7 linked regions of the Cricetulus griseus genome follow. The protein of the gene in region 1 interacts with the protein of each later gene in a pairwise test. Links are inferred from orthologs where the notes say so. Each region holds a gene or a part of one and is shown on either strand. Other genes may lie near its edges. The genes, in order: Lmo3, Cby2, Fblim1, Pelo, Pnma1, Wwox and Gpatch2l.

Region 1 (4,063 bases):
TTTGACCTTTCCCAAGGAGAAGCGCTACCAAGCAGCCTCTGTGCTCACTGAACACCCTCCCCTGTATCGCTTAATTGAGAAGGTAAGTAAGAGGCTGTGTACACACGCGTCGGCTTATTTGTGCTGTGTGTGTCTCCGGGTGCGCGCGTGCGTGTGCGGATGTTGGGTGGTTTTCTTCTTCTTCTTCTTCTTCCCTATCCTCTCCCAATGAAGCATAAAGTAAAGCTGCACGCGAACCATCACCACCACCACCACCACCGCTGCAACTTTACTGGCTGCAGGTCTGCAGAGACGATTTCTGTTTGTTTGTTTTGTTTAAATCGTGGGAGGCATCATTATTTTGTATGATGAGACACAAAATAGATGCGGGGCGGAAGATGAGGATGCCTGAGGAAGAGGGGGAGCGTGCGGCTACAGCGTGACATCTCAAGTAGGAGTCCAGAGCATAATAGACAAAGTTCACTGGGAGCTGCGGCATCCAGACACCCTATTCCGGAAGAGGGGTTGAGACAGTTTGCAAAGGTGTTTTTTTTTTTTTGGGGGGGGGGTAATGCTTCCAGACTAAGGGAAGTGGTGTCAGTCTCGGGTGTTTTCTCAGCCCTCTCCATGCCTGATTGGTGAAATCCGTGCCCTCCCCAAAGAAAGAGTTGAAATTACAACCTTGTTCTTGCCCACACCCCTGCTTCTACCCAAGGCAGCTCTAATAACAAAACACTGCTTCTGTGTGTTGCAAAAGTGACTATGTTGGACCATGCAAAGAGGAGACAAGTGTCCAGTAGAGGCAGGTTCCTTGGATTCAAGTGCCTGCATCCTAACAGGTCTAGAGATTCAGCACATTCTAATCGGGGCTACTCAGATTGCTGTTATGAAACGCAAGTCAGATTTATGATCTTTTTCATACCGAACACGATATGCTATGCTAACACTGCGTGTGACGGTTTAATCAAATCCATTTGTTACCAGGAAGCTAAAAGGGGCCGCTGGGATTTTAGGATTACGGGCAGAGTTAGGGAAGCATGTGGCTTTGTCATTCGCCATCATTTTACACGTTCCCTTGTCCCTTCCCCCACCGCCTGCCTCCCTCACCACTAGACCCTAGCTCCCAAAGTGGCCTCACAATAGTGGATCCTCGGCCCTGTACGCTGCTCACCAGATCCACGCTTGGGCCCCAAATCCAAAAGTGACTCCCCTCTTCTACTTCCTGCCTGTGGGCTTGGTGCTCCATGCGAAGCTGCAGCGGCTCAGGCACGCCTAAGACAACTCATGCAGAAACAGGAGAAAAGTTTTGGTAAGGTTACAGTCTTTCATAGATGCACTTTCTCGGGGCGCTCGGCACTCGTGGCTAGCTCCAAAGCCTGCCAGTTCTTCTGTTGCTGAAGACACGAAATATTATTGTGTCTACTGCTTTTAAAGACTGCTGCTTTCCACCAATTAATCTCGCTAGGTGCCATAAATACTGGTACATTCTTTGCAAAACCATTCCTGTGTTGCTGCAAAGACACAGCCACAAAAGGTTGGATCATAAACTCCGCAAGGGGATTCTTTGTTAGAGTGTATGTATGTTTCTTATTTTTTTTTTATTTTGCATGTGAGCTGCATCAAAATTGAACCCAGTCTTGCAAATCTCTTGTTGGCCTTTGCCAAGCACTAGCACTTTGCTGCCATGGTAACTGTAATTAAACTGATAAGAGTGGGGAAATGTCAGTATCTCTGAGCCTTGCAGCTGCATTGGAGAAAAAGGGAATCAAATTGGTTCCCAGCTCCATTGCTCAAAAAGGGGAGGGTGGTGGAAGGACACGGAGGGGGGTTGGGAGTTGAAGGGGCAGAACAGAGTTAAGCAGCTCTAGTGCCAGAGATTTGGGGACATCTATTTGCATTGTTTTCCCTTAGGGGGCTGCAGCCTGTAGGGGTGCTCTGGGCCAGTGAACAGAGAGAAACAAGCTTTTAGGCCCAATCCAGTTTTCCAATCTGGGTTGGGGGGAGTGACTGGGAGTGGGATGAAGATGGGCAGGAGGAGAGAAAATCTTTTGTTTGGTACTCTTGGCAATCGAAAGGCTGTGTTGGCCAAATTCTTTTAATCTATGTCATTGCTCCCAGCTGCGAAACCTGCAGTCCCAATTTTAGCATCCTCTCTTCCAAAAGCCCTTCTGACAGAGCCCCTTCTCCTTTTCCCCAAATTGTCCTCTGTAAATCTTCTGAAAGGGAAAGAATGTTTCCCATTCATTCTGTGTGATCAGTCCAAATAATACATTGGTGTAAAAAGAGAGAGAGAGAGAGAGAGAGAGAGAGAGAGAGAGAGAGAGAGAGAAGGAAAGAAAGAAAAAACACTGTGCCTAAGTGCTGCGCATCTTTCATTATTGTGATTATTTTTTAAGCCCCTGTGTGTTGTGGAGTTGTGGTTACTTTGTTGTGTTAACTACTGAAGCTAAGACTGTGCGGATGAATGACACAGAACAAGGGAACATAATGGATGCAATCAACCGTCAGGCCTTCTCACAATGCAATCCAGGCAATTAAAAGCTCACCAGAGTTTAAATGAAACGGTTCTACTTATTTCTGCACAGCACACTGCACAGGCTATTATTTATGTCTTTTTTGAAAATTATGATTTCCCTTAAACTGTCAAATAACTCAGAATGGCAGGGTCTCAGAGGCAATAAGAATTTCCCTCAGAACAATTTGCATGCCAATCTAAAACTAGTTATGAGTGCTGATGGGCTGTGAGCAACTTGTGAAGTGTCTCTTAGCCACGAACACATAACTCTCCCCAGACGTACTCTCTTGGATCAAGAGCAGAGACTGCTCAGTGCTTTCTGCTTTTTAGGTGCTTGGCACCGTGGTGACGACCAAGTGATTGTTTGCCTACATTTTTTTTAAATGCATAGAATGGAACAGATTCCATTTGCAAGAGAAAAGGGGTTAGTGTTCTTTAAAAGAAGATATGAGGATGGAATAGAAAATATCAAACTTCTTTTATACACAAGGCCAAACAGAATGAAAGAGTTTCAGTTATTAATTGGCCTCTGGGTGCTACATTAAAATGTCAACACAACAAAAACGCTTTGTGAAGACAAGCAGTATAATATTCCTTGTGCCAAATGTTGGTATCTGCTGTCTTGGTTACAATTTATTTTGAATAAAGATAGCTGAACCTTTACACTTAATAATAATGTCACAAACATTGGAAATAATGGAGCTTAGCTTCCTAAGAAGAATTCCTTTTTCATCTTTTAGGTGTGTGATATAAAAAACACAGACTTCAAATTAGATAATTAGGACGGTTACCTTTAGCATACCTCTGTATGCTTTCAGTCATGAAATCCGGACTTCCTTAGTAAATCAGAATCCCCCTTTTCCCCCAAGTATATGACTAAGAGGCACCTGGGCCTGTTGTGCACTGTAATTAATGGGACTCATGCCTGTGGGACCTTGCTAGCAAAGGATAACTAGTTCTGATCAAAGAAACTTCATTTGTTAGAAGTTCTAGAGAGTGAGATTTAGCAGAGCTATCAAGGGTTATGATTAATCTACACTAGGCCCTTAGCTCCTTCAAAGAAAAGGAGCAGAAAGCAGGCTACAGGGGTACCACCTGCTCTTCAGCACAAATCTGCTGCTGGTCCACAGCTCAGAGCACTACAGCCATGCCTGTCAGGCACACAGAACAGCCACCCTGCTTTCTTCCCTGCATTCCCTCCTCTGCTGCTCTACCACACAAGTTGTTCTCCGATGAAAGCTCAGGAACATTCTAATATTATGTGTAGTTCATGTGACATTGGTAGCTGGGAAACTCATTTGGCTGTGGGCATACGTTCATGCCCCTTACCAATGTGATTTTCTTTTACAGGCAGAGGAGGTAATGAGGGCTGAACCCTTCATCACACGGTATCAGAAGGAAGGAGAGAGTTTACTTATCTTGAGGAGAAATGAATCATAAATGCTTCATTTTCCATTCTGAAACCCTCTTAAATGCATTCATATTTGGTGCTTCATATCTTTGTCTATCTAAGTTTAAAACTTTATGCCTAGGAGAGGAAACAGTGTTAATGGGTGGTCTGTGGATTGC
Region 2 (4,252 bases), on another chromosome or scaffold:
GACATTTTAGTTTTATAGAGAAATCAGGCACGAGGGAAATGTCTGGAGATCTACAAAGATGACACCAGCTAACAATCTAAGCAACAGAGGAGAGGCTACCTTAAATGCTCTCCCGTGATAATGAGATTGATGACTGACTTATATGCCATCCTATAGCCTTCATCCAGCAGCTGGTGGAAGTAGAAGCAGACACCCACAACTAATCATTGAACTGAACTGGAATCCAGATGCAGAAAAGGACGAGTGAAGAGCAAAGGGGTCCAGACCAGGCTGGAAACCCACAGAAACAACTGATCTGAACATGGGGGAACTCTTGCTCCCCAGACTGATAGCTGGGTTACCAGCATGGGACTGATCCAGACCCCAGGAACATGGGTTTCATTGAGGAAACCCCGGAAACCTACTCTCTTCCTACCCCAAGGGGCAAAATCACACAGAACTGGGGCTCTTAAATGGATCTGGAGGTGACAGATTTGACAGAGCTAAGGATGGAGGGATGAGTGTTCTGGCCTTAATGCAGGTTCTACATGTGATATGTTTGGTTGTATTTTTCTATCAGAACAGTGTTTCTTAAACCCTTGGGATTTCCTGACAGGACCTCCTTTGAAACACATCAGTTTATGCTAGGGGAATGACTTTGGGGGTGGGGGGTGATTGTCAGAGGAACCAATCAGGTGATTAGAAGGTTGGAATTTTCAGCAAACGTCTACCTCTGGAAGGATTTGACATTTAGTTAAGTGATCAAAGGCTAATGATTTGATAAAATTTGCCTACATAATGGAACTCCACAAATACCTCTAAACAACTGGGTTCAGACATTGAAGATGCTGGGAGGCAGGTGTGTCCAGAGAAGGCCAGAAGGTTTACGACACTACCCTGTCAAACAGCTCACCCTTTATCATTACCATTTGGCCCCTCCTGAGCTGCATGCTTCTTAAAGTTGTGATCCTAAGTAAATTACTCTCCTGTGTTCTGAGAGACAGCTATTGAACCTGAGGAGCAGCTTAGGGTAACCCCTGCATGGCTAACCAGTTACAAGTACAGGTGGCCCTGATATGGGATTGGTACTTGAAGTAAAAGATCATCTTTTAGGGCCGAGCCCCTAACTTCTCGGAACCTGACATGTAGCTATTATCAGAGTGGAACTGGACTGGAGTTCCTCAGTAGTGCCAAGTCTCTCCAGGTCTAGACAGTTAATGTTTCTCTTTTCCTAATTAATGTGATTGAAACAGATGCCACCTCTGATGGGAGGTAGAGAGGTTCAAGCCAGCCTGGCAGTGAGGTGTGAGTGGCAGCCAGCTGACCAAACAAGGGCTATTGTGTGTCACACTGACCCGGGCTGGCCACCTGAGCACAGCCAGCAGCAATTCTTCCTTCCTGCAGAAGCCTCGTTCCCACCTGAGATGCCCGGAGAGAAACCATGAGCTCAGAAAAACACCATATTGTTCTGTGATGTCACCTCTGGAATGTTCTGAGTGTTTTGGTGACCAGCTTATGCATAGGACCTATACCTGGCACCTCACATTGGTATGGCTTTTTACTTATATAGAAATCGTAGTGTAAAACCAGGAAGAGCTGCAATGATTTCTTCTTGTAAGAGGGCTTCATATCAGTTCATTCCTGTCTTGGTTTTTTGTTCAGTGATCAGTGTCGATCAGTTCCTGATCACTGAGCAGTAAGACTTCTGGCCAGGCGCCATGTACACATGCCTTGAGACTGTGATTTTTATAAGGTATAAAATTAGTCAGAAGGACATAAATGTGTAGAAAGAGGTTATGTGTTTCAGGTGAGCCACTGAGGCCCTGAGGATGGGTTGAGAAGGAGAAATCTGATTCTTTCTTTTTCACAGCACTCGAGGCCAATTTTTACAAGAAAGAGAGATACCAGATCTGAAAGCCTAGAAATTCCAATCAATGTGGTTCTACCTCAGGTAGGGACAATCATGGAAGAATGTAACTTGCTAGAATAACCCTGTTTCCAAGCCTTACAGAATGAACAGCGAAGTCAGCCACTCAGATTCTTGTCATGTTGGTGTTGTTTTCCTGCCCATTTGTCTTGAGGAGGACACATGGATTCTCTGAACCTTGGGGTCCTCTGGCCTTGAATGAGGAGACTGAGTTGGATGGTCAGGTCCTCCAGCACTAGCCTTTCAAGATTTGTTGATACTATGACAAAAGTCTAACCTTCCCAAAGGAGACCCTTCATTGCATGGTAGTGTATAACCACTCAGGACATCTGTAGAGAACTAGAGTCAACCTTGAATCCAGATGCATAAGAATGAACACAGGAGCTGAAACCCCAGAATGGAGCCCACTTGCAATGGTCAAGAGGATTAAGCCCTGCCATGGGCCAAAGATGGTTTACTGGGGATGAATGTTCACTTGTTTCTTTTGAAGCCAGTGAATGATTAAAACACTTATAGCTTGTGGTCTCCAGATCTCCTGCACACAGCAACTTTCTCAGTGGGACCCCCTTTTACTTGAGTGTTCCTTCTGTTGCTATGTCACAAAGGGGTGGCCTTGCTTTCTCCAGTGTTACCCAAGAGCTCATTGGAAGACCAGGGTCATGCAACCAGTGGAGGAGAAATGTAGGATGGAGGGATCCAAGGCACAGGTAATTTCCCTAAAAGTTTGGTCTCAGGAGGTATGTACAAAGAGGATGGATCTCTGGCTGGTGTTCTCTATTAGTGTAATTATAATGAGCTCAGCAAATATGGTGAGAAGGAGACAGAAACACAGGACAAGAGAACCACCTGGGTATTTTTTTTCCTTACAGCATTGTAGTAAGCAGCCACAGTTACATCTCTTTCAGCTCATGATAGCTAAGCCAGATTATTAGGCAACTATGTCCTGGGCATCCTATAGAAGAACAAGGAACCTTGCTAGGTCTGATCCCTGACACATAAACTACACATCTGTGCATGAGGGTGGCCGTGGTTCCTTTGGTACCTTTATTAGCCCACATGTTAGGGGCAGACAGGAGATACCAGCCCAGATGTGGGAGTGGGAATGGGGCTGGGAATAAGATTTGAAAGTAGGTGTATTACTTGCTGTTCACATTGTTGTGACCAAATACCTGGCAAGAAGCAAGTTAAGGGAGGAAGTCTTTATTTTGGATCTTGGTTGAGGGGTAAATCTGTTGTGAAGTGGAAGCTATGGGGTGGGGCCGCTGCCTCACATCACTGCAGATCCATGTTTTTCTCAGTCCAGGATGCTAGTTCATGAGCACTGTAAGACCCTTGGAAAGCTGAGGCTTCCAGAATCTTAGCCCAGGACCTCGGCCACCCCAATCACAGAATGGAGGCGAAAGCTAGATGCAAATTGCATGAGGCTTTATTGTAGTTTAACGAGCTAACACCATGTTAGCTCGGGTCTTTGACCCACCCACCATGGCAGATGGCTAGCAAAGACAGTTTGAAGCTGCTGCATACAGATCTTTATAGGGCAGCATAAGGGGAGTGTTTAGGGGTATGCACAGGCTCAGGATTGGTGTGCCTCCAGGCTTGGAGGGTTTGCCCTGTGTTGATTGGTCAACTGGCTGTTATGGCCCATAGGCCCTCCCAGGGTGGTTGCTATGCTTTGTGCGTCATTGCTGTGCGCTTGTCCATAAAGCACACCCAGGGTCATAAAGCATAGCGCTATCAGCTAACTTCTGATTGGCTCCTTGTCACGAGGCAGGCATCTGACTTTCTAGTGACTAACTTCTGATTGTTTCCTTGTCACGAGGCAGGCATCTGACTTTCTAGTGACTAAGACAAGGTCATAGAGCACGTGTTTGGTCATTATGGCTGCCAAAAGGGAAGCTGGTCCCTTCAAGCACTAGCCACATTAAGTATGGGCCTCCCCTCTGTTAGTCCTTCCCCATAAAGTCCCCACAGACACATCAAGGATGTGTGCCTTGCTAATGCCCTGGGTGTTTCTTAATCTAGCAAGCTGACACAAAGCCTTCATTACTGCCATGCCATAGAAAGATTAGAAAGATCCATCTACCCCTGGCATGACTTTGTCCCTAGCTCCCAGCGCCAGCTTAGCAGTCAAGGAGAAAAGGTGTTTGAGGAGTCTTGGGTTTGTTCTGGTCCTTTCAGGCCTACTTCCTGTGCTGTGGGACCTGGATCTTGGAAGGCAGAAGAATATGGAAGGAAGAGGTCACTGCTGTCTGGAGATTTTTCATGGCCAGCCAGGCTTAGTCAGCAGTCATCTCTAGGTCACTTAAGTAAGCAGCTGGTGTTGAAAAGCAGGAAGAGGATAATTCT
Region 3 (4,267 bases), on another chromosome or scaffold:
CTTTTCCAGCAGAGGTCATAAGAGTCTTCATACCCATTGCAGAGGCCCCATTGCCAGGTTGGGACCATACCCAAGGGGCCCTTGGGCACAGGTAACCTCAGTGTAGTACCAGGCTCTACCCTTGGCTCTTACCTGGGGATGGTGGCAGCGATCCAGCCTCTGTGACTAGCAGATTCATGTGCCTGGAGGGTCACCCTGTGGTCTGGCTTGAATCCAACCTCGCCCCTTGCCCATTGTACCACCCTTGATCCGAACCAGCTTCAGGGTCTGGTCTGTAGGTGGGGCAGTTCAGTCCTGGAGTAGAGGCTGCAAAGGTTAAAAGTTTGAAAGGGACACAGGGGAAGCCTCTAGAGGTGGCAGCTACTGTAGCGACTGTCTTTGTCACTCCACACTGGCAGGAAGAACCAAGTGGAAAAGGCTGGTGACAGAGGGAGAGAAGGCTGTTAAAGGGGTGTGGGGCTCAGTTGTGGAGGAAGAGGATGGAGATAAGCACCCCCACTCTGATGTCTTAGTGGGGTGGTCCCTTCAGCAGTAACCGCAGGACCGCTGTGAGGAGTGGATTGGCTGTGGGCTGCAGAAGGGGACCCAATCCTGCCTGGCTGCCCCTGTCCCAGCGATGACTCTGGGTCCAGCTCTCCCCTGTCCCCTCCCCTATTGTGGCTTTAATCAAAAGAACAATCTGCTCGCCTGGGAATCAGACCCAGATTCCGTTCCCCAGCAATGTCCTGAGGCCTCTAGGGACCTGTGCAGCCCAGCCCCAAGCCAGGCCCCAGGCCCCAGGGCTCTGCTTCTTCAGGGGCCAGTAACAGGGCCAGGAAGCAAACAGGTGGCATGATTGTCTGCTCCTGGTCTCCTGTTGGGGCCTCCTCCCCACCGTAGGACCTGAGACCCACTTGTGGAAGGATTAATAGGCTCTGGCAGGCACTGACAGCTCAGGACAGCATACCCAGGTGACTTGCCTCACTGAGGTCTCTGGGGCCCCTGCCCCAGGCATTCCTTGAAAAAGCCCATGACCCCAGCCTATGCGAGTCCCGGATTCTCTTAGCATTATCGCTTTAACTCCAAGCCAAGTTGCAGAGGTGGGCAGTAGGGACTCCCTTTTAGGGATTGAAGAACCCGAGGTTTAGGGAGATAGGGTAACAGTCCCAAGTCATGCGTCTAGCCTCACTCAGGACCCTGAAGGATCTCAGAGCCAAACGGGATGTAAGTACCCCTCCCCACCAGATGGGGCAGGTGGGGCTGCTCATCCAGGTGACCTAGGGGGAAGGTGACCAAAGATCCCCCGGTGCACAGTGGGGAGGGGTCGACGGAGGAGGCGGAGCCACGGGAAGGGGGGAGGAGTGGCGGGAAACAAAAGGAGGGGGCGCGGCTGCAGGTGGGGGGGCAGGTAGGGCGAGCCCGCGCCCCCTCCCCGAGCGTCACCTTTTATGGTAAGGCGCGCGGGGCGGCAGGGCGGAGGGAGGCCGGGGCGGGAGCGAGGGGCGGAGGCGCAGCGCCAGCGGAGGCCGGAGCATGGGGCACGCAGCAGGTAAGTGGGCTCAGCGTGGGGGTCCCAGCCTTGCGCCCCAGGCAGGGACACCCGCAGGTGGCCGCACGGGCAACTCTCATCCACGGCGCTGGCCCCAGCCTGGCGCTGCTGGGGGGTTCGGGGCGGGTACTATCCCTGTGTTCTCTTGTGCCTGTGTGTCCCAGGATCTCAGCCTTTAAAAACTCCGGAGGTTGAGTGCGGGACGGTGCGGTGGGTTCTTGTCCCTGCGCTGAAGTGGAACGGGCTAGCAGGGCGGAAGCTCCTGCACAAAGACGACAGCGTTCCGCACATGGGTTGAATTATAATTGCCGCTGTGACCCGGCCAGCTGCCCCGCTCCGCTGCTGCTCCAGGGCGAGCTCGCGAGTGTGTGTGTGTGGGTGGGGGGGGGTCCCGAGCTCCCACGGCCTTGGAGCCCTGTTCCCAGCTCCAGTTAGGGGACGGGAAGGAAGGGGTCTCCTGGCAGGGTGTGAGAATGAGCGATCCCCAAGGTGTGTGCAGCTACTCCCCCTTCTCTAGCCCAGACCTGAGGTCCCAGGGGAGAGACTGGGCAGCGCCCAGATTCCTGCTCTCAACAATAGAGACCACTGTCCTCCAGCCCCAGGGCTCCGCCTGCCCTCTGGGGCTGAATGACCAGAGCTGGTCTCCTCGAAGCCCCCTCCAGGGCTATTCACTTGATGACTAAACTACCAAGCCCAGAGACGCTGGGTGACTGCAGCAAGGTCACCCAGTAGGAGCCGTGGCCGGGGAGGAGGCAGCTCTGTGCGTCTTCCTCCTCTGGAGCAGGAGAGAGGATGAGAGACCCTTACTTTTTGAGACTTCCAGGTGTCTTGTGGGAGTGAGTGGGGACACACACCCTCCTCCCCGCCTCCAGCAAAGTTTAATTCTGGCTCCAAACTTAGATTGCTTTGTGGGGCTGTGTGAAAGAAAGAACGATGCTTAGAAGTGACTCGGAGGAAAGAACTAGGAACGAGGGGACTACTCCTGGCAGCCAGCACATCCCTTCCCAGGGGCTGTAGCCTAAAGCCGGCCTGGCTGGCTGGCCGGCTCTCAGCCTTCTTCCTTCCTTTTGACAGGAAATGACTTTCCTTCCCTTTGTTCCCACTTTCTCCGCTTACCCGACTGGATCTGGGTGTCTGATTTGCCCTCGGGGGAGGAAGGATGGGGGTGGAGGGTCGGCTGGGAAGTAGTCATACTGCGCCTCCCCCCTCTCCAGGGTGAACTCTGGGGCAGTGAGACCAGAGGGAAGAGCCAGCAGGCTCTCCTTACGGGACCTGACAGGGCTCTGAAAATCCCCAGCGCTGCTCCATCCACGGCCCGCCCGAGGTCCCCTCTGCTGCTTGTCACCGATAGGGGCGGGTATGGCTGCCCAGCTGTGAACATCTGGCCTCCATGCTGGACGTTTCAGAGAAAGCAGGCAGAATGGAGCGGGATCAGACTAGCGGGGAGGAGGTGGGGAGCGTTAGGAAGAGCCACAGCCTGTCCCAGGGGACCCGCCTAGAATGTGTTGACCGCAAGAAACTGGTCTGGGTTGGGTCGTTTGGGGGAAGGGGAGGGACTTGAGGTGGGGGAGGAGACTTGTACAGTCCAGGGAAGAAAAAGTTCAAGGATGCCCGTGGACTTCCAGGTTGCACTCTTCTCTGATAGCATTCCAAGTCTGCTGGAGGACCAGTCTGGTTGGGACTGTGTGACAGAGCCTCTCCCTACAGCTGAGGTGTGAGGTCTGAGCTCTTGACTTTGTAAATGTCTGTTAAGGTTTCTGTTTTAATTCTGAAGACCAAAACTTACAAAACAAGTTCTATTTATGGGGCTGGGGTTGAACTCATGGAAATCCTCCTGCCTCAGCCTCCTGGGTGCTGAGATTACAGGTGTGTATTATCATTTCTGGCTTAAAAATACTTTCGAAGGATCTCTCTGTGTAGCCCTGGCTGTCTTGAACTCACCATGTAGACCAGGCTGGCCTCATACTCACAGAGATCCGCCTGCCTCTGCCTCTCTCTGCCTCTGCCACTAGAGTGCTAGGATTAAAAGTGTGCGGCTCGTACAGTGCCTGGTGCCCCTAGAGCTATTTTATAGTATTTTTTTCTCTGTCAGCCAACAGGAGAGTCCATGTGGGCTGATGCTCCTTGAGAATCAGAGGCAAATCTGTGAGTGACCATGTGGGATCCACCTCTGCCGTTAGAGTGACCCCTCAACGGTCCAGCCCCACTGCTTGAGACTAACCAAATTCCTCCCCAAGTGCTCATGACTGGGCTTCAGTTGCATCATGGTGGCCCATACAGAAAGAGGAAGGGAGATAAAGGACACATTTTTAGCCAGGTGTGCTATAGTTGGGTGCCAGGGAGGACTTCGGTGGCCAGTTCACCCCCAGTGACCCGCCTAGACCTCAGCCCCAGAGGCTTCTATGCCCTTCCCAACATGGCGGTACTTCCTCTGCACAGATCTCTGCTTCCATACCTGCTTCTGTGAGCTGCTGTCTGGCTCCTGATGCAGACAGCTGAAGACAGGCAAGGTTACCCGAGGGGATCAGACACATGGATAGTGAGCCATCGGTACTATGAGGATCTGTTCTTATCCTGAGGAAGCCACAGATTGCCCCAGGGTGGGAGTCAAGGGAGGCTTTGTAGAGGACAGGTGAAGTCTGAACTGGGTCTCAGAGAGCTGAAATTAACTCCTTAAGAACAGAAAGGGGAAAAAAGACTGGATCCTCTAGTGGGAAGAAAGGGTTAAGGTAGTTAAAA
Region 4 (3,525 bases), on another chromosome or scaffold:
TTACATGCTCTTGAACACATTCATCAGCTTTCTCAGAATTTCATTTTACTTTTCTACAAATTAGGGTAGCATTTTCTTTATAAGAAAAGAAAGAGTGGGAAAGTGTTTTTGAAATTTCCAAAAGTTGATTGTACTCCAATGAAGACCTTTCATTCATTAAGAGCCTATGCAGCACCTTCTTGATCCTTAAAATACTTAAAACACAGTGAGAGTATGAGTGAGCTCAAGACTTCTCTGCTTCCCACTGTCTACAGACTCAAGAAAGAGGCATTCCTATATTCCCATCGCCATGGTGAAAAAAAAGGGTGTGTGTGTGTAAGGTTTTTCTTTTTCTTTACAACCAATTCTATGGCTCTTCTTTGGAGGGCGGTCATAGTTAGTAGATCAGTTTATCTTAATTTACCATAGCCTCAGCTTTTGGCCAGTTATTGGCAGGGAGAATCAGCGCTAATCTATTGCAGGCCAGCTCCCACACTGAGCGCCTCAGAGACTACTGAGCCTTGGAGAGCTGACTGCCAATTTTGGATTCTGGGATTCCCAGGACATCAGGTCAAGCCACCCAGAGGTCCACCAGGGGTACATTCCACGCATAGCTTCTGCTCTCTCTGGGTTCTGTCCTTTAACATCTGGGTTAACTGGGTAGTCCAAACAGGGTAACGTCGCAGAAAACAGTTGGGCATGTTGCTGAGCCCAGGCCGAACGTGACTAGTCCTTAGAAACTGCTTCTGGGAATCCCAGTGCCAACAAGCGCGCGTCACGTCTGAGTGCGGGGAAGGAATGAGCAAGACCAGGCAGAGTTTGGACTTCGGGGACTAAGTCTGCACTGCACTTTCGTGGGCTCTTTTCACTTTTACATAAGTTTGGAAGCTGGCTCCACATCAGGGAAGGAAGTGCAAAGTGGCAAACTCAGTTTAGATACTTACGTTAGCACTCACACACTCCGCAGTTCCTCGTACACAGGGAGGCGTGGGAAAACTCAGCCACCCGGAGTTCGGCTTTAATTCTCAAGAGTGGCGGCCAGAGCCGTTTAGCACCTCCCTTGACTTTCAGCTAGGCTGCGTCTTTCCTGTTACTGCGCTTGCGTGCGCGCGTAAGCGATAGGGCCCGCCTCTCCGGTAGGGACGACAGACATGCGCCGGGAGGCGGGCTGCGCATGCGCGATCGCCGCGTCAGCCACTTGCGCGGGGCCGGTGACTGAAAGTGCCGGCTTGTGTGTGCTCAGCGTGGGGTCTGCCGCGCAGCGTGGATCTGCGCGCCGAGGCTCAGAAAAGCGTCGGGGGAAAGCCTGTCCCGGGCTGGCAGGAGTTAGAGGTAGTGTTTCTCTCCTGTCCCCTTCCCAGCCTAGGACCCCACCCCCACCCGCGCCTCTGTGTCTCTTGCGGACCCCCCTCGGCGCCTTCTGTTTTGAAGTGAGCCCCTGGCGAGGTCATGAAGCTTGTGAGGAAGAACATCGAGAAGGACAATGCGGGCCAGGTCACCCTCATCCCCGAGGAGCCCGAGGACATGTGGCACACCTACAATCTGGTGCAGGTGGGCGACAGCCTGCGCGCCTCCACCATCCGCAAGGTCCAGACCGAGTCCTCCACGGGCAGCGTCGGGAGCAACCGCGTCCGCACCACCCTCACTCTTTGCGTGGAGGCCATCGACTTTGACTCTCAAGCCTGCCAGCTGCGAGTTAAGGGGACCAATATCCAAGAGAATGAGTATGTCAAGATGGGAGCTTACCACACCATCGAACTGGAGCCCAACCGCCAGTTCACCCTGGCCAAGAAACAGTGGGACAGTGTGGTTCTGGAGCGCATCGAGCAGGCTTGTGACCCAGCGTGGAGCGCTGATGTGGCAGCTGTGGTCATGCAGGAGGGCCTCGCCCACGTCTGCTTAGTGACACCCAGTATGACCCTCACCCGTGCCAAGGTGGAGGTGAACATACCCAGGAAACGGAAAGGCAACTGCTCCCAGCATGACAAGGCCCTGGAGAGATTCTATGAACAGGTGGTCCAGGCCATCCAGCGCCACATCAACTTTGATGTTGTAAAGTGCGTTCTGGTGGCCAGCCCAGGGTTTGTTCGAGAGCAGTTCTGCGACTACATGTTTCAGCAAGCGGTGAAGACTGACAACAAAGTGCTCCTGGAAAACCGGTCCAAATTCCTTCAGGTAAAAACTCTTACCCAGAGAAATTCAGGAGTGGGCAGAGGGATTGGTGTGAATGGTTCGTAATGTTTTAGAGTAGTAGAAGGCTAAAACTCAATTTAACTGGGATTATAAATGAATCAGTAAAGAGAACGGTGTAGGTCTACCACATTTATAAGGTAACCTTTGCAGAAGTCCTTAAATAGATAAGGCCTTATTCATGCTTTTGTCTTACGCCATTGTGGGCTGATTAACGGATACTTTCAAAGATTCTTTGTCTTTTATAATTGTGATTCTAGGTACACGCCTCCTCTGGACACAAGTACTCCCTGAAAGAGGCCCTTTGTGACCCTACTGTAGCTAGCCGCCTTTCAGACACGAAAGCTGCTGGAGAAGTAAAAGCCTTGGATGACTTCTATAAAATGTTACAGCACGAACCTGACCGAGCCTTCTATGGACTCAAGCAGGTGGAGAGGGCCAACGAAGCCTTGGCGATCGACACATTGCTCATCAGTGATGAGCTCTTCCGGCATCAGGATGTGGCCACCCGGAGCCGGTATGTCAGGCTGGTGGACAGCGTGAAAGATAACGCAGGCACGGTTCGGATATTCTCTAGTCTCCATGTGTCTGGGGAACAGCTTGGCCAGTTGACGGGAGTTGCTGCCATTCTTCGATTCCCAGTGCCGGAACTTTCTGACCAAGAGGATGATTCCAGTTCTGATGAGGATTAAGACTGACATTTAATAGTTACTTCTTCTCAGTGTCCCTTGACAGGTGCAAAAGCTGCACTTGTTGATCATGCTGGGATTTCTGGTGTGTTGGTCACACTAGTGTTTTATAGTTGGCAGGACATGTATTCAAATTAAATAAATCAAAAGAAAAGAATGTCCCAGCATTATGGTTTCTAATTGGAGTTATTTTTTCTAAATACCTGAAAACAGCAATTTGAGTATCTAAGGGGGAAAAGAGTCTGCTGTTTGGGCTTGATCATTAAAGCCCATGTACCTGTTTTAATAGGTTTTCCTTGTAAAAATCTTTAATCTCTCATGAAGTTTATTTTCACTCTGCATGGTGTTTTTGCATTTCATTTAATTATGCATTTTCTCACCTCTTTCTAATTTTTGTTTTTTCAGGATTTGGCTACATTTACTAAAGTGTAATTAAAACCAAGCCTAAAATGTTATTTTCTTTTAGAGATTTGCTAAACTAGTCGATTTTAAAACACTCTTGTTGCTCTTTGTTGCTCTAATCATACTTTCTGTAGACAGTTATTTTCAGGCAGTAGAGGTCTGATCTACTAGGGATTCTCAGCACAGTCTCTGGACTTTAAAAATGAGATGAAAGCCTGTGGTTTGCTTACTGTGTATCGAGGAGTGGCAAATCTGGACATTTCTC
Region 5 (4,113 bases), on another chromosome or scaffold:
GCCGGAGCTAGATAGTGAGACTGTATCTAAAAGAAATAGCTGGGTGAGGTGGCTCACACCTGTAACCCTAGCACTGTGGAGGCTGGAGGCAGGAGGATTGCTACAAGTTTGAGGCCAGCCTGGGCTACAGAGTGAATTCCAAGCCAGCCTCAGCTAGCTATCGAGTGGGACCGTGAAAAAGAAACAAAACAATAACCGAGGAACCGGCAACACAAGAATGTGTAGGTGATATTGCAATTTAAGCTCATAGCAAGGAGATTAAAAAATTTTTTGACATGAGCAAAAATGTGCAGAGAAAAAATGTGCAGAGCTAAGTTACACTGAAAATTTTTTATACATGTCAGGAAAAGCAAGATGAGAATTTTCACATTTTTATTTGTATACATCTATTTGATAACTTCAAATTTAGAACACTTAGCATCAACATGACCAATAATTAAATGACAAATAATTCATGTGGGGAAAATGTAGCTTGTTTATGGAAATTCCCCCTGACTTATATTTGTATCTTACACCATGAAAAGTAGGTTGTGCCTCTTCATAAAAATCACATTTTTCTAACTTGCCAATTTTAATCCTAGAGTACTTTGCTGGTAAACTGGTTCTGATGTTGAGCCGTGAGGAATGAGAAATCTGAATTTTCAAAATGAGCAGTATCATCTAACAGACTCATATTCTTCCCATGTATATAAATTAGGGACAATGTACAGTAAAACTATCCACAATATTAGTAACAAATGTCAGTCTGTACCATACAGCCTGTGAAGCAGGCTTGCACTTTCACAATCATCCTGACAGGAAGTGTCTCAGCTTCACATTTTTCACAACTGTCAAAGATGTCACTAGGAGGGCTTGCATCAAGCATTCATTTTAGGCAGTATGAACCACCTCTACTGTTGCAGCCCTGGCCAATCACGCAATTCTGTGACTGCTACACAAATACGCAGGCCTGACTCCCCTATCCCATCCCCCAGAAAACAAAACAAAAACAGGAGGCTAGGTCTTTACTATGAGAGGCAAGGCTTGTAAAACCGCACAGGGATAACAAAAGCAGCCAGACTGATCCAGGGACTCAGAAGTGCCCCTCCAGGCCTAGCTGCAAAAGGGCTGCCTCAGCTTCCTCTTCCTCCTCCTTGGCTTCCTCCTCTCGAATCTGCACCAGCAACTGGAAGAGGTTGGGTGCCGGTCGTTCCGCAGCCCCAGTCAGCCACAATTGCCTTCGGATGGCCCCACTGTGGTTGGCCCCGGCGATGACCTGCTCCAGGCGAGCCTGGTTCACGTTATCTTTATCAATGGCCCCCTTTTCCACTACCTTTTGTAGCAGAGGCTCCAGACGAATGACGTAAGATGACAACTTTTCCCCGGGGTTCTGGTAAGTGTTCAGAAATCTGACCTGTGTATCTCTAGAGCTCTCCACGCTCCCAAACACCTGCTCAAGAGCCTTCAGGCATTCCGCGGTGGTTATGGCTGGGTTGTTGGTCTTGAGGATGCGAATGACATCAGCAGCAGGGCCTCTCAAACTCTCCATCAACCGCCGTCTCTTTTCTATATCAGACACCTGCCATTCTTCTATGACCTCATTCGAGTGCTCCAGCCAGGAATCAAAGGTCTCCTCGCCAGGCCCGGGAATGTCCCTCCCAGAGAATAGCGTCAGCTTCTTATACCATATGGACTCAACAAGAGGTTGAATAACATTATCCAAAATATAATTGAGCATCTCTGCTGGCATTTCTGGGCCTGGAGCGGGAGCAGGGTTCTGAAACCCAAGCACACGAGCAACATCTTGCACAGTCCACCCTTCCCTAGCTAGAAAGAGGTGCAGCCTCTCCAGAAACTCCGCATCAGAAGTGGGGGGCTTAAAGAACACTTTCCAGAGCCCTCCTTTGCCTGGCATCTCTCTAGGGATCAGGGAGTAATCCACTTCCCCGGTGAGCTCTAACAAGGCTGCCTTCGCATTTTCTTCCCTCCAGAACATTCTCCCCAGTACTCGGTAGGGCACTTGGGGCATGGCAGCTTGGAGGGTCTCTTCGATTTCAGCCTCATCACAGTTCACAGGGATCCCCCAGACCAGCAGAGCTCTCTGAGAGTTCACATCCATTCCCCTGCACCAGTCTTCCAAGAGCGTCAAAGCCATTTCGCCCCACTATTAAGGGTGCCAGTTCTACAGACACCGACTGGACTGGCTCGCAGTGCTATAGGACCTAGGACAATACAACATGCCTCCCTCCCCCGGGTAGGCCAGGGGGCGACAAGCTTCAAGCAACCACAATTACCAGTGACACCGGAGTCCAGTCTCGTCCCTTCCGGGTCCCAAAGTCAGTAGTGTCAGGTGCCTCGGGGCACTCTGCCTATCGAATGTCGCCCTCTTTGGTCCGAGCAGGTGCGGGCTGGCCGCAGCTATTCGTGGCCTCACGGCGGGCAGGGGAGAAGCAAGGTTGGCGCAAGGCGGTGGGCTTCAGCTTCACGAGGGAGACGGCCGGGTGCGGTCGCGGGGTGTGGCAGCTCCCCCCCGCCGCTCTCGGGCCGGCCGGCCGGCGGTAGGCGCGGGCGTAGGGTCACGCGAGGCAGTGGCTGGGAAGACGCCGGGAGAGGCGGTACTCGGGTCCGGCGGCTGCGGCAGCAGGCGAGCACCGGGGACGGAGGCCTCAGGGAGGCGCGGAAGGCGGGAGGCCGGATGGAGGCAGCTCCGCTCAGCGTCTAGAGCAGCGCGCTCCCGCAACGGCCGCCGCCGTGCAGCTGCAGTGCAGGGCGGGGCCGGTCCGCTCGTCAGTGTCGCCGTGGCAACCGTATCCATGACGACGGGAGATGCGCGAGCTCCAGAGGATCTGGCGGTTGCTATGGTACCGAGGGGTTGAGGAGTCTATTTTGTGATGGCGCGCGCGCGCGCGCACACACACACACACGTATTTCCCAGCTTCTTTCTTAACAATAAATATTGCAAAGCATCGTTTTCTTTTTTTCTTAATCTAATTTTGCTGTGAATTTAAGTTGGCCTTATTGATACGCATCCACCACGACAGACTTGTCTGTCTCATGTTGCTCATCCAGCTTATGCATTCACTATGCAGCCCATGAAAACACTCAGCACTCTGACTTCTGCGTACCTCCTGACCACACACCACAGCTGCTGCTTGCTCCTCCCCAGGAAAGCAAAAGACAGAATGCCATCTCCAGGTTCCTGTGAGACTTACTATGCTTTCTTGCCTAAATTTTGTATATATATATATAAAAAAAACCAACAAAATGCTGCTGCTGCTACTTCTTTGTAGCCAGGCAAACTGCAAACACTTTCATTTCTTGATCTTACTGAGTATACAGGATAACAAAAGAGAATGCTTAAGGCTCAGAAAGGTAGGGTAAATTCTCTTCAAGCAAGGCCTGTCAATCCCAGCTGGCAAAAACATCCCTATAAATCAGGCGGGCCTTGGTGGCCCATGCCGTTAATCCCAGCACTCGGGAGGCAGAGGCAGGAGGAGCTTTGTGAGTTCAAGGCAAACCTGATCTATAAATTGAGTTCCCGGCCAGGCTCCAAAACTACACAGAGAAACCCTGCCTCAAAAAATCAAATAAATAAATAAACACACAAACCCCACCCCTATAAAGATATGGCATTGGGGGCTGGATAGAAGGCTCACTGGTTAGGAGCATTGGCTGCTATTCCAAAGGACCTGGGTTCAATTCCCCGAACCCACATGGCAGCTCACACCTGTCGGTAACCCCAGTTCCCAAAGATCTAACAACCTCACACTGATACACATGCAGACACAGAACACAAATGCAAATAAAATAAAAATAAACAAATCGTTACAAAAAAAAGAATATGGCGCCGGGCATTGGTGGCAAACTCCTTTAATCCCAGCACTCGGGAGGCAGAGGCAGGCGGATCTCTGTGAGTTCAAGGCCAGCCTGGTCTTCAGAGCAAGTTCCAGAACAACCTCCAAAACAATACAGAGAAAACGTGTCTCAAAAAAAAAAAAAAAAAAAAAAGGAAAGAAAAGAAAAAGAAAAACCAAGAATATGGCATTCAACAGTGAATTTTTTAAAATTTTTATTTAATAAAAGGTCTTAAGATACAGAACATTCAAAAGTAAATAAGTTACATAGGTACATTAC
Region 6 (3,500 bases), on another chromosome or scaffold:
TGCCTTCCTTCCTGCTTGCCTGCCTTTCTTTCCTTGTTTCTTTCTTTTAAGCTGCTTGTCTTTGAGACTTCCTAAAAACTTTACAAAGGATTGATGTGTCTGTGTGACTGTATAAGGGCATCAGATCCCTCTACTGTCATCCTACAAATTCCTGTGAGGCAGGGCCTCTCTCTGAACCTGGACCTTGCTTTTTCTTGGCTCATGTGGAAGCCAGTAAACCTTTGGAGCTGGGGTTACAGTTTGTAAACACAGGATTTCTGACTTGATGAATGGGTGCTGTGTTCCAAACTGCAATCCTCACAATTGGGCAACAAGTGCTGTTAACTGCTGTGCCATCTCTGGAACTCCATTTTTCAAATTTTTATTACTACTGTGACAGTTTATTTTGGTCTCACCTGTTACTATCCCTGTAGTAATAGTTATAGTAACAGGTTCACCTGAAGTAAATGGTTTGTCAGCCATCCCAGTGAACTGCCTTCCTGGCATGTCTCCTCCACTGGGAGCAGGTAGGCCAGGGCTTGCTTTGGAGAGTCTGAGCAGTCATTGGCAGCTCCAGTAGGGCAGCCTCTCTATCAGGTGGGTGGGTGGATATTCTTTGCTACGTATTAGATTATAAAGAATTTACTCTCCCTTGATTTATAAAAATCTTTTACCTTATCAAAATAGGAACATCATTTCTTTAATTTTGTGTTCGAAATATCCTTTTCCACATTTTTCTTGGAGAGCGTGGCTGTAGAAATTCTTAGGCTCCCTGTAGCCGGACTCCTCCTGTAAAGCTGTTCTCTGGGTTGCTTTCCTCTTTACTGGCCTAGAGCAGTGGTTCCAAAGTGGACTCTCCAATCAGCATCGTTGGCAGCTCTTGGGAATTTATTAGATATACTCAGACCCCCTACTATCTGAAAATCAACTTGGGGTGTGGTGGTGGTGGTGTTGGTAGCCTATGCCCTCCAGGGGATTCTGAAACATGTTGGTTTGACTGGCCTACTATAGAGAGGGGTCAGCTAAACTTATCTGTAATGGATCAGATATTATGTTTTATGGTATGGCACTACATGGTTTCTGTTTTGAACAAAAAATGATGGCCATTGCTGTGCCCCAATAAAACTACAGAAGCAAGCTATGGCCACATCAGTCAGCTGCTGATCTAAAGGAGAATGAGTATGGGCTTTGGAAGTAAGCTAGGAGAAGGCTTTCCTGGATAGTTATTCTCTAGCCTGCTGCAGGGGTGTGCTGGGATATGCTCAACAACCAGCTCCTTAGGGAAAAGAAATGCACATTTGTTTCCATGTGCAGATACTGTCACCATCACCAGTTGTCGGCTACCAAGGTGGAATCACTGAGGAGCAGAGATGACAGCACAGCCAGCACTGCCTAATGTCAGCATTGTCACACAGGATCTCACTAAGTTGCTCAGGCTGGCCTTGAAATTGCAGTTCTCCTGTTAGCAGGGATTACAGGCCTATGCCGTGTAGCTCAGACACATACATTTTAAATCATAGTATTCTTTGTATATCAGGAGGGTTCTTAATAGTTTTAAACATGTTTATGACATTTCAAGGTCTTTATCTCAGATCGTAAGAATACACATAATTTTCGTATTACATTTTGAATATTTAGAGTGTGTATGTGCATGCATGCGTGCACATCATGGCCCACACATGGCCATCAGGACAACTTGCAGGAGTTGTTTCCTTTATCACATAGGTTTCAGGGATTGAGCTCAGTCATCAGGCTAGGCAGCTGAGCCATCTTGACAGCCCAAGAATGCATTTAAAAATGTAAAAATGGTATTAAAAGGAATAATTTAATAATCTATATGTGCCAGTGTATCTTAATGTTGTTTCTGTAAGTTCTAGATCAATTCCAAATCAGAAGTAGAGTGCTTATTATAGGTGGCATGGCCATGGTCTTAAAATGCACAGCATCGAAACTTTGCTATTTGGCTTGCTTTGTAGTTATTAAGACTTTCATCATTTCCACTTTCTCCTTGTATAACAGAGTTTTTAAGCCCTTGCGCAGGCCAGTGAAATTACATGGGCATGTATTGACGAGAGTGGCTGGCAGATCTTGCAGACGAATTTATATGAACACGAATTCAGTAGAAATCTAGAGCCTTCTCAGGAAGCTGTTATGAGAGCTAAGGGGCCAATTGTGTCCTTGAACCTTCAAGTAGTTCTGAGAGGCTTCATGGCTGTGTTCACAGGCAGAGTATGGTTCTTCTGAGGATGAGAAGATAGATCAAATGGGTTCTGGATCTCTCCATCTTTGACAAACCTTTTGGTGCACGAACCATGGTGTTTGCCTGAAGAATTAGAGTATTAGGGTATTTGGAGCTGCTGTTCCTTGCTGTTTAGAGTTCAATGCCCTTTCTCTTCTTTGCAGCCACATAAATAAAAGAACTACCTACTTGGACCCAAGATTGGCATTTACTGTGGATGATAATCCAACAAAGCCAACTACCAGACAGAGATACGATGGTAGCACCACCGCCATGGAGATCCTGCAGGGCCGGGACTTCACAGGGAGAGTGGTCCTGGTTACCGGAGCAAATTCAGGAATAGGTAGGCCCATAGCTTAACTGTCATCTTGTTTTTACTCATTTATTATTTTGTGAGTGCTACAGTGAATTCCACTTAAATATAACTGTAATGAAACTTTGGTAGTGAATCTCCAGTTTAAAGATGGTCTCATAGCTTTTTCAGCTGTCGTTTCATTAAAATCACAGCCTCCTTCAATCCCAGTGCTACAGTGGGAGGCTGTGTGGGGCCTGACCTTGAAGTTGCTCAAAGCTGAGAAGTCAGCAAAAGGCTGTGGCTATTTTGGTATTCAGGGGCTGGAGACAACAGGCTCTGGCTAAGAGTTTTTGACCCGGTCTGTGTGGTGCATGGATGTATTCCAATTACCTGGGTTATTCAAACCAAAATTGATTGGTAATGGGATACTGGACAATAGCAGATTGTGACTTTGGATCCAAGGGTACTGCAGGTTTCCACTGGTCACTGAGCCTATCATTTTCTTTTGGTAACCATATCTTATTTCTTCATAAAACTGGAGAATTCGTCCTTGTCTTCACCTCTGCAGCAACCCTCCTAATTGCTGCTGTTTAACCACAGTGGCCATGGTGAGGTCAGTGGCTTCTCGGACTGGTGCAGTGGTAGCAATGAGGCAGGCACTTGTGCATCCTGAAGGATGGGTTTTATTTTGTTTTGGTCCATTGACACCTAACATTAGCATCTGAATTGCTTTGAGATAGGATATGCTTCTGCAGATTAAAGAATAGAATTGCATCCAGCTGTCCTCTGTCAGGTTTCTTTCTGTCCTTCTATCACAGTGCCCCTCATGACCTTTCTCATGAGCTTTTCTCTATTCTCCTCTCTGTTTTTCCTGATTTTGGAGTTCTCAGCATCATTTTCCAGCAAGTGGTACCATAGCAGATCAGCCACTGTTTGTGTGGCAGCTCTCAGAGCTTGAGATTGCCATCCAAGATACAATCAGTAAAT
Region 7 (3,500 bases), on another chromosome or scaffold:
TTAAAAGAACAGAAACTTAGCTAATACACATAGCTCAGCAACTTCAGGAAAATAGTTAAAACCCATGATGCGTTGTTCCTCACTTGTACATAGCAGAAGTAGCGCAAAAGATGGCCATAAATCCTGCCTTTGCATGCTCTGAAGCAAATACAATCCACACTCTAGCTTAACAGTTCCCAAATCTCTCGCATGCGACCTTCATGACCCTTTCTTTATCTGCCAACTATATGAACTGTTCATCCAGAATTTTCTTTACACCAATTACTTACACTCAGTTTTGTCCTATTTCCACCAGGTAAGTCTGACATAGTAATTACATTTTTCTAACATACATTATAATATATAACTTCAAATACGTAATCTAAAATCATCTCATAAACACACACTGGTTTTATCTTCCACTGTTCTAATTATTGTGAAACAGCAACTTCCCAGTGAACTTTGCAAATATAAACTGTGTAACATAATAAAATGCTAAGTAGTCCCCAAAATAAACAACCAGTCAACCATGGAGCAAAAGGAAGCCTGAGAAGGTTTGCCCATCAGTCTCTATGAACTTCACAGCTCAGAACTAAGGTTAGGCAACCCTTACCTCTAAACTGAAAGAATTTCAAACATCTATAAACCTAACAACAACCACTGTGAGTTACTTTTAAATCATGGATCCTCCTCAAAGCCAAAATGTATTAAGGCATCCCTAAAGGGGAGTCAAGGAAAAGATTAAGAGAAAAAAGCTCCAAAGTCTTGATCATTTCCCCAAAAGGAGCTCAGCCTTCTGCCTCCTATGCTCAGACAGTCACAGCACAGGATTCGAATGGCAAACTAACCCAGAGACATGAGACTCACTTTACATTTTTAATCAATTGAAACAATAAGACAATGGGTTCAATGGTTAAGAGCAAATACTGCTCTTCCAGACGACTCAAGTTCAGTTCTCATCAGCATGTCAGGCAGCTCCCAAATGTCTGTATCCCCAGCTCCAGCACATATGATACCCTATGGCCTCTGCAGGCATCTGAGCTCACATGCACCTATGTACATGGACACATAAGTAAAAATAAACCTTAGGGGGGAAAAGCTAAAATAAAACCAGGCTTCCCTTGAAATGTGTTACAAATAAGAAGCTGACAACTGCAGCTGAACCTAAGGAGGGAATTGGCTACAGTTCTTTCAGATGAGCACAGAGCAGTCTTGGAACTCAGCTCTCAAAAAAGTCAAGAGTGATGGAGAGTGATCTTAGTCACCTCATGTGCACAAGCAAAAATGTGAGGAAAATCAGAAGCCAATGTTTTATTCTTTCTAAAGAAAAGGAAACTGAATGATAAAAGATGACCCCCCAAAATTATCTTACCTGCTTTCGTTCTCTTTTCCCAGCTGATGGTAAGCAGAAACTGAAGAGAGAATAACAGGAAAGAAAACAATAAAAGAAGTGATAGGAAAAGTAAGAGGGAAGACGATCACAGGTGGGATACTGAGTGAAGACAAAGAAGGAACTGGGAGCGATGCAGCTGAAGGAGAAGGACGCCAGCTGTGTGTGAACAACAGTCTCCCTGAAGTAACTGCAGTGGAGAAGGCAAAAGTGGAAAGCAGAAAACTAGACAAGGAAGAGCCAACTAAGACACAGCCTTATCTCAGCTGTGCATCGAGAAAAGGACTCAAACTCCAAAATCAGACTAGGTTTATGTATAGGACTGCTCTTGGGTACTGACCATAATGATTAAGGAATAAACTATACAATTTCTTTAGCATATACAAATGTGGGCTGCTTTTTTTTTTTTAACATACATAGTTGATATGTATGCATGTATGTGTGTGAATGGAGGAATGTAAGGTCACAGGTACACACGTGTGTGGAGGTCAGAGGTCATTGTGATGTCTTCCAAGCTCACTCTCCACTTCATTTATTGAGGCAAGGTCTCTCACTGAACCTAGAGCTCCCTGCTGGTCAGCTTGCCCTGGGATCTACTTGTCAAGGGCTGATATTACAGGCAGGCCTACCATACCACCTGCTTCTTTATGTGGGTGCTGGGGATCCAAACTCTAATCCTTATGCTTGATCCACTGAACCATCTCCCTAGTCCCAATATATATGTATTTATTCAGCAGATATTCAAATTTTAGCCATGGAAGACCCATAAGAAGACAAAGCACACAGCAAAGCCAACTGTTTAGGAAATGAAGCTGTTATGAGAAAGGCAGCTCCATTCATGATTCCTACTGCATTCACCATGGTAACAGGGACAAAAAGATTTCTCCTTAAAGAGGCCTGAAGGAGAACAGAAGCATTTGGAACAACCATTTTAAAAAAATTAAGAGAGAAAAATGCATTTAAAATATAGTCTCTTAGTGGTGGATATTAATATAACACCTAGAAACATAACAGGCAACAACAACAACAAAAAACTACTCTAGAAAGAAAAAGAAAAATCACTGTCATGATTTAAGACTTTAGCCATCTTAAAATTTTACTTTTTTATTATTGTGTATGTCATAGCATACTTGTGAGGGTCAGAGGACAACTCTATGGAGTTGGTTCTTTCCTTCTGGCTCTGGGATTAAACTCTGGTCATCAAACATGCAACAACAGGTGGCAAGCACTTTTAGCCATGAGCCATCTTGCCAGCCTGATTTTACCCATCTTAACTGTTAGCAAGCACCAATCTCTAAAATGCCCTCTTTCGGTTCTCAAGTCTAATAGAAAGATTGCTTTATAGAAACCCTCTCTACCTCCTTCTCCAAGGACCAGGCTAGGACAGCAGTAGGCACTTAGGTACTTACTCTTTCTGCCGGGGGTCACTGATGATATGGCTTATCCTCTCGGTTCCTAGACTGCTTATGCTGGTTTCCTAAAAAGATAAGAAAAAGAGTGTCATCAAACCACAGAAGCAAATATATACAATTTAAGCTGTTACCAAGCTAAATTTTTCTCTAACCATACCAAGCAATCTTAAGGTTGTATCAATCTTAAAATCCAACAGCAACTATTTTTTTTTTAATAGGAGTACATCTTAGAAGTATCATCTATTACCTAGCTATTCTCTGCTGACTTAAAAGGCTTTTAAAAAGCCGTTATAAATACTGTTTGTTGGGCTTGGGATATTTTTCTATTCTAAATTTAGTTTTGTATAAGTGTGTGTGCGCAGGTACACGTGTGTGGGCACTCATAAGTGTGTGCATGAGTAGAAGCCAGAAGACTATCTCAGGTGTCATTCTTCAGGCACTGTCCACATTTTTTGAGACAGAGTCTCTCCTGGCCTGAGCTTAGCTATCTTCCTCCTCCCCAGCGCTGGAATTACAAGCATGCCATTGCACCCGAGGTGTTTCTCCCATATTGTTCTGGGGAACAATCTCAAGTCCTCCACAAGCACTTTGCCAACTTGAGCAATAAACTCCAGCTCTGTTTATTTTTTAATTGACACATAAGTGAAATATAAAACTAATACCAAATACTGTTTCTTTTTCTTTTTAAAGATTTTATTTATTTATTATGTATACAACAT

The links.
Region 2: the proteins of Lmo3 (region 1) and Cby2 interact in binary tests that used the Homo sapiens proteins (3 or more experiments, as listed by UniProt). The two-hybrid records come from large-scale screens. The link is inferred for Cricetulus griseus from reciprocal best matches to the Homo sapiens genes LMO3 and CBY2.
Region 3: the proteins of Lmo3 (region 1) and Fblim1 interact in binary tests that used the Homo sapiens proteins (3 or more experiments, as listed by UniProt). The two-hybrid records come from large-scale screens. The link is inferred for Cricetulus griseus from reciprocal best matches to the Homo sapiens genes LMO3 and FBLIM1.
Region 4: the proteins of Lmo3 (region 1) and Pelo interact in binary tests that used the Homo sapiens proteins (3 or more experiments, as listed by UniProt). The link is inferred for Cricetulus griseus from reciprocal best matches to the Homo sapiens genes LMO3 and PELO.
Region 5: the proteins of Lmo3 (region 1) and Pnma1 interact in binary tests that used the Homo sapiens proteins (3 or more experiments, as listed by UniProt). The two-hybrid records come from large-scale screens. The link is inferred for Cricetulus griseus from reciprocal best matches to the Homo sapiens genes LMO3 and PNMA1.
Region 6: the proteins of Lmo3 (region 1) and Wwox interact in binary tests that used the Homo sapiens proteins (3 or more experiments, as listed by UniProt). The link is inferred for Cricetulus griseus from reciprocal best matches to the Homo sapiens genes LMO3 and WWOX.
Region 7: the proteins of Lmo3 (region 1) and Gpatch2l interact in binary tests that used the Homo sapiens proteins (3 or more experiments, as listed by UniProt). The link is inferred for Cricetulus griseus from reciprocal best matches to the Homo sapiens genes LMO3 and GPATCH2L.

What each region holds. Positions count from the first base shown.
Region 1 is NC_048601.1:10,636,350-10,640,412, forward strand, and holds the start of Lmo3 (LIM domain only protein 3), read left to right. Parts: upstream 1-1,263; coding exon 1,264-1,288; intron 1,289-4,063.
Region 2 is NW_023276807.1:229,960,913-229,965,164, reverse strand, and holds the start of Cby2 (protein chibby homolog 2), read left to right. Parts: upstream 1-1,452; coding exon 1,453-1,527; intron 1,528-1,849; coding exon 1,850-1,930; intron 1,931-2,565; coding exon of another isoform or gene 2,566-2,613; intron 2,614-4,252.
Region 3 is NC_048595.1:11,653,187-11,657,453, forward strand, and holds the start of Fblim1 (filamin-binding LIM protein 1), read left to right. Parts: upstream 1-1,467; 5' UTR 1,468-1,528; exon of another isoform or gene 1,529-3,038; intron 3,039-3,110; exon of another isoform or gene 3,111-3,247; intron 3,248-3,266; exon of another isoform or gene 3,267-3,394; intron 3,395-4,267. UniProt on the Homo sapiens protein: Serves as an anchoring site for cell-ECM adhesion proteins and filamin-containing actin filaments. Is implicated in cell shape modulation (spreading) and motility.
Region 4 is NC_048595.1:332,905,155-332,908,679, reverse strand, and holds Pelo (protein pelota homolog), read left to right. Parts: upstream 1-1,186; 5' UTR 1,187-1,428; coding exon 1,429-2,154; intron 2,155-2,429; coding exon 2,430-2,861; 3' UTR 2,862-3,025; downstream 3,026-3,525. UniProt on the Homo sapiens protein: Component of the Pelota-HBS1L complex, a complex that recognizes stalled ribosomes and triggers the No-Go Decay (NGD) pathway.
Region 5 is NC_048598.1:119,613,575-119,617,687, reverse strand, and holds Pnma1 (paraneoplastic antigen Ma1), read right to left. Parts: upstream 2,801-4,113; 5' UTR 2,135-2,800; coding exon 1,073-2,134; 3' UTR 346-1,072; downstream 1-345.
Region 6 is NC_048596.1:191,035,241-191,038,740, forward strand, and holds part of Wwox (WW domain-containing oxidoreductase), read left to right. Parts: intron 1-2,382; coding exon 2,383-2,561; intron 2,562-3,500. UniProt on the Homo sapiens protein: Putative oxidoreductase. Acts as a tumor suppressor and plays a role in apoptosis. Required for normal bone development. May function synergistically with p53/TP53 to control genotoxic stress-induced cell death.
Region 7 is NC_048598.1:117,541,193-117,544,692, forward strand, and holds part of Gpatch2l (G patch domain-containing protein 2-like), read right to left. Parts: intron 2,847-3,500; coding exon 2,779-2,846; intron 1,392-2,778; coding exon 1,352-1,391; intron 1-1,351.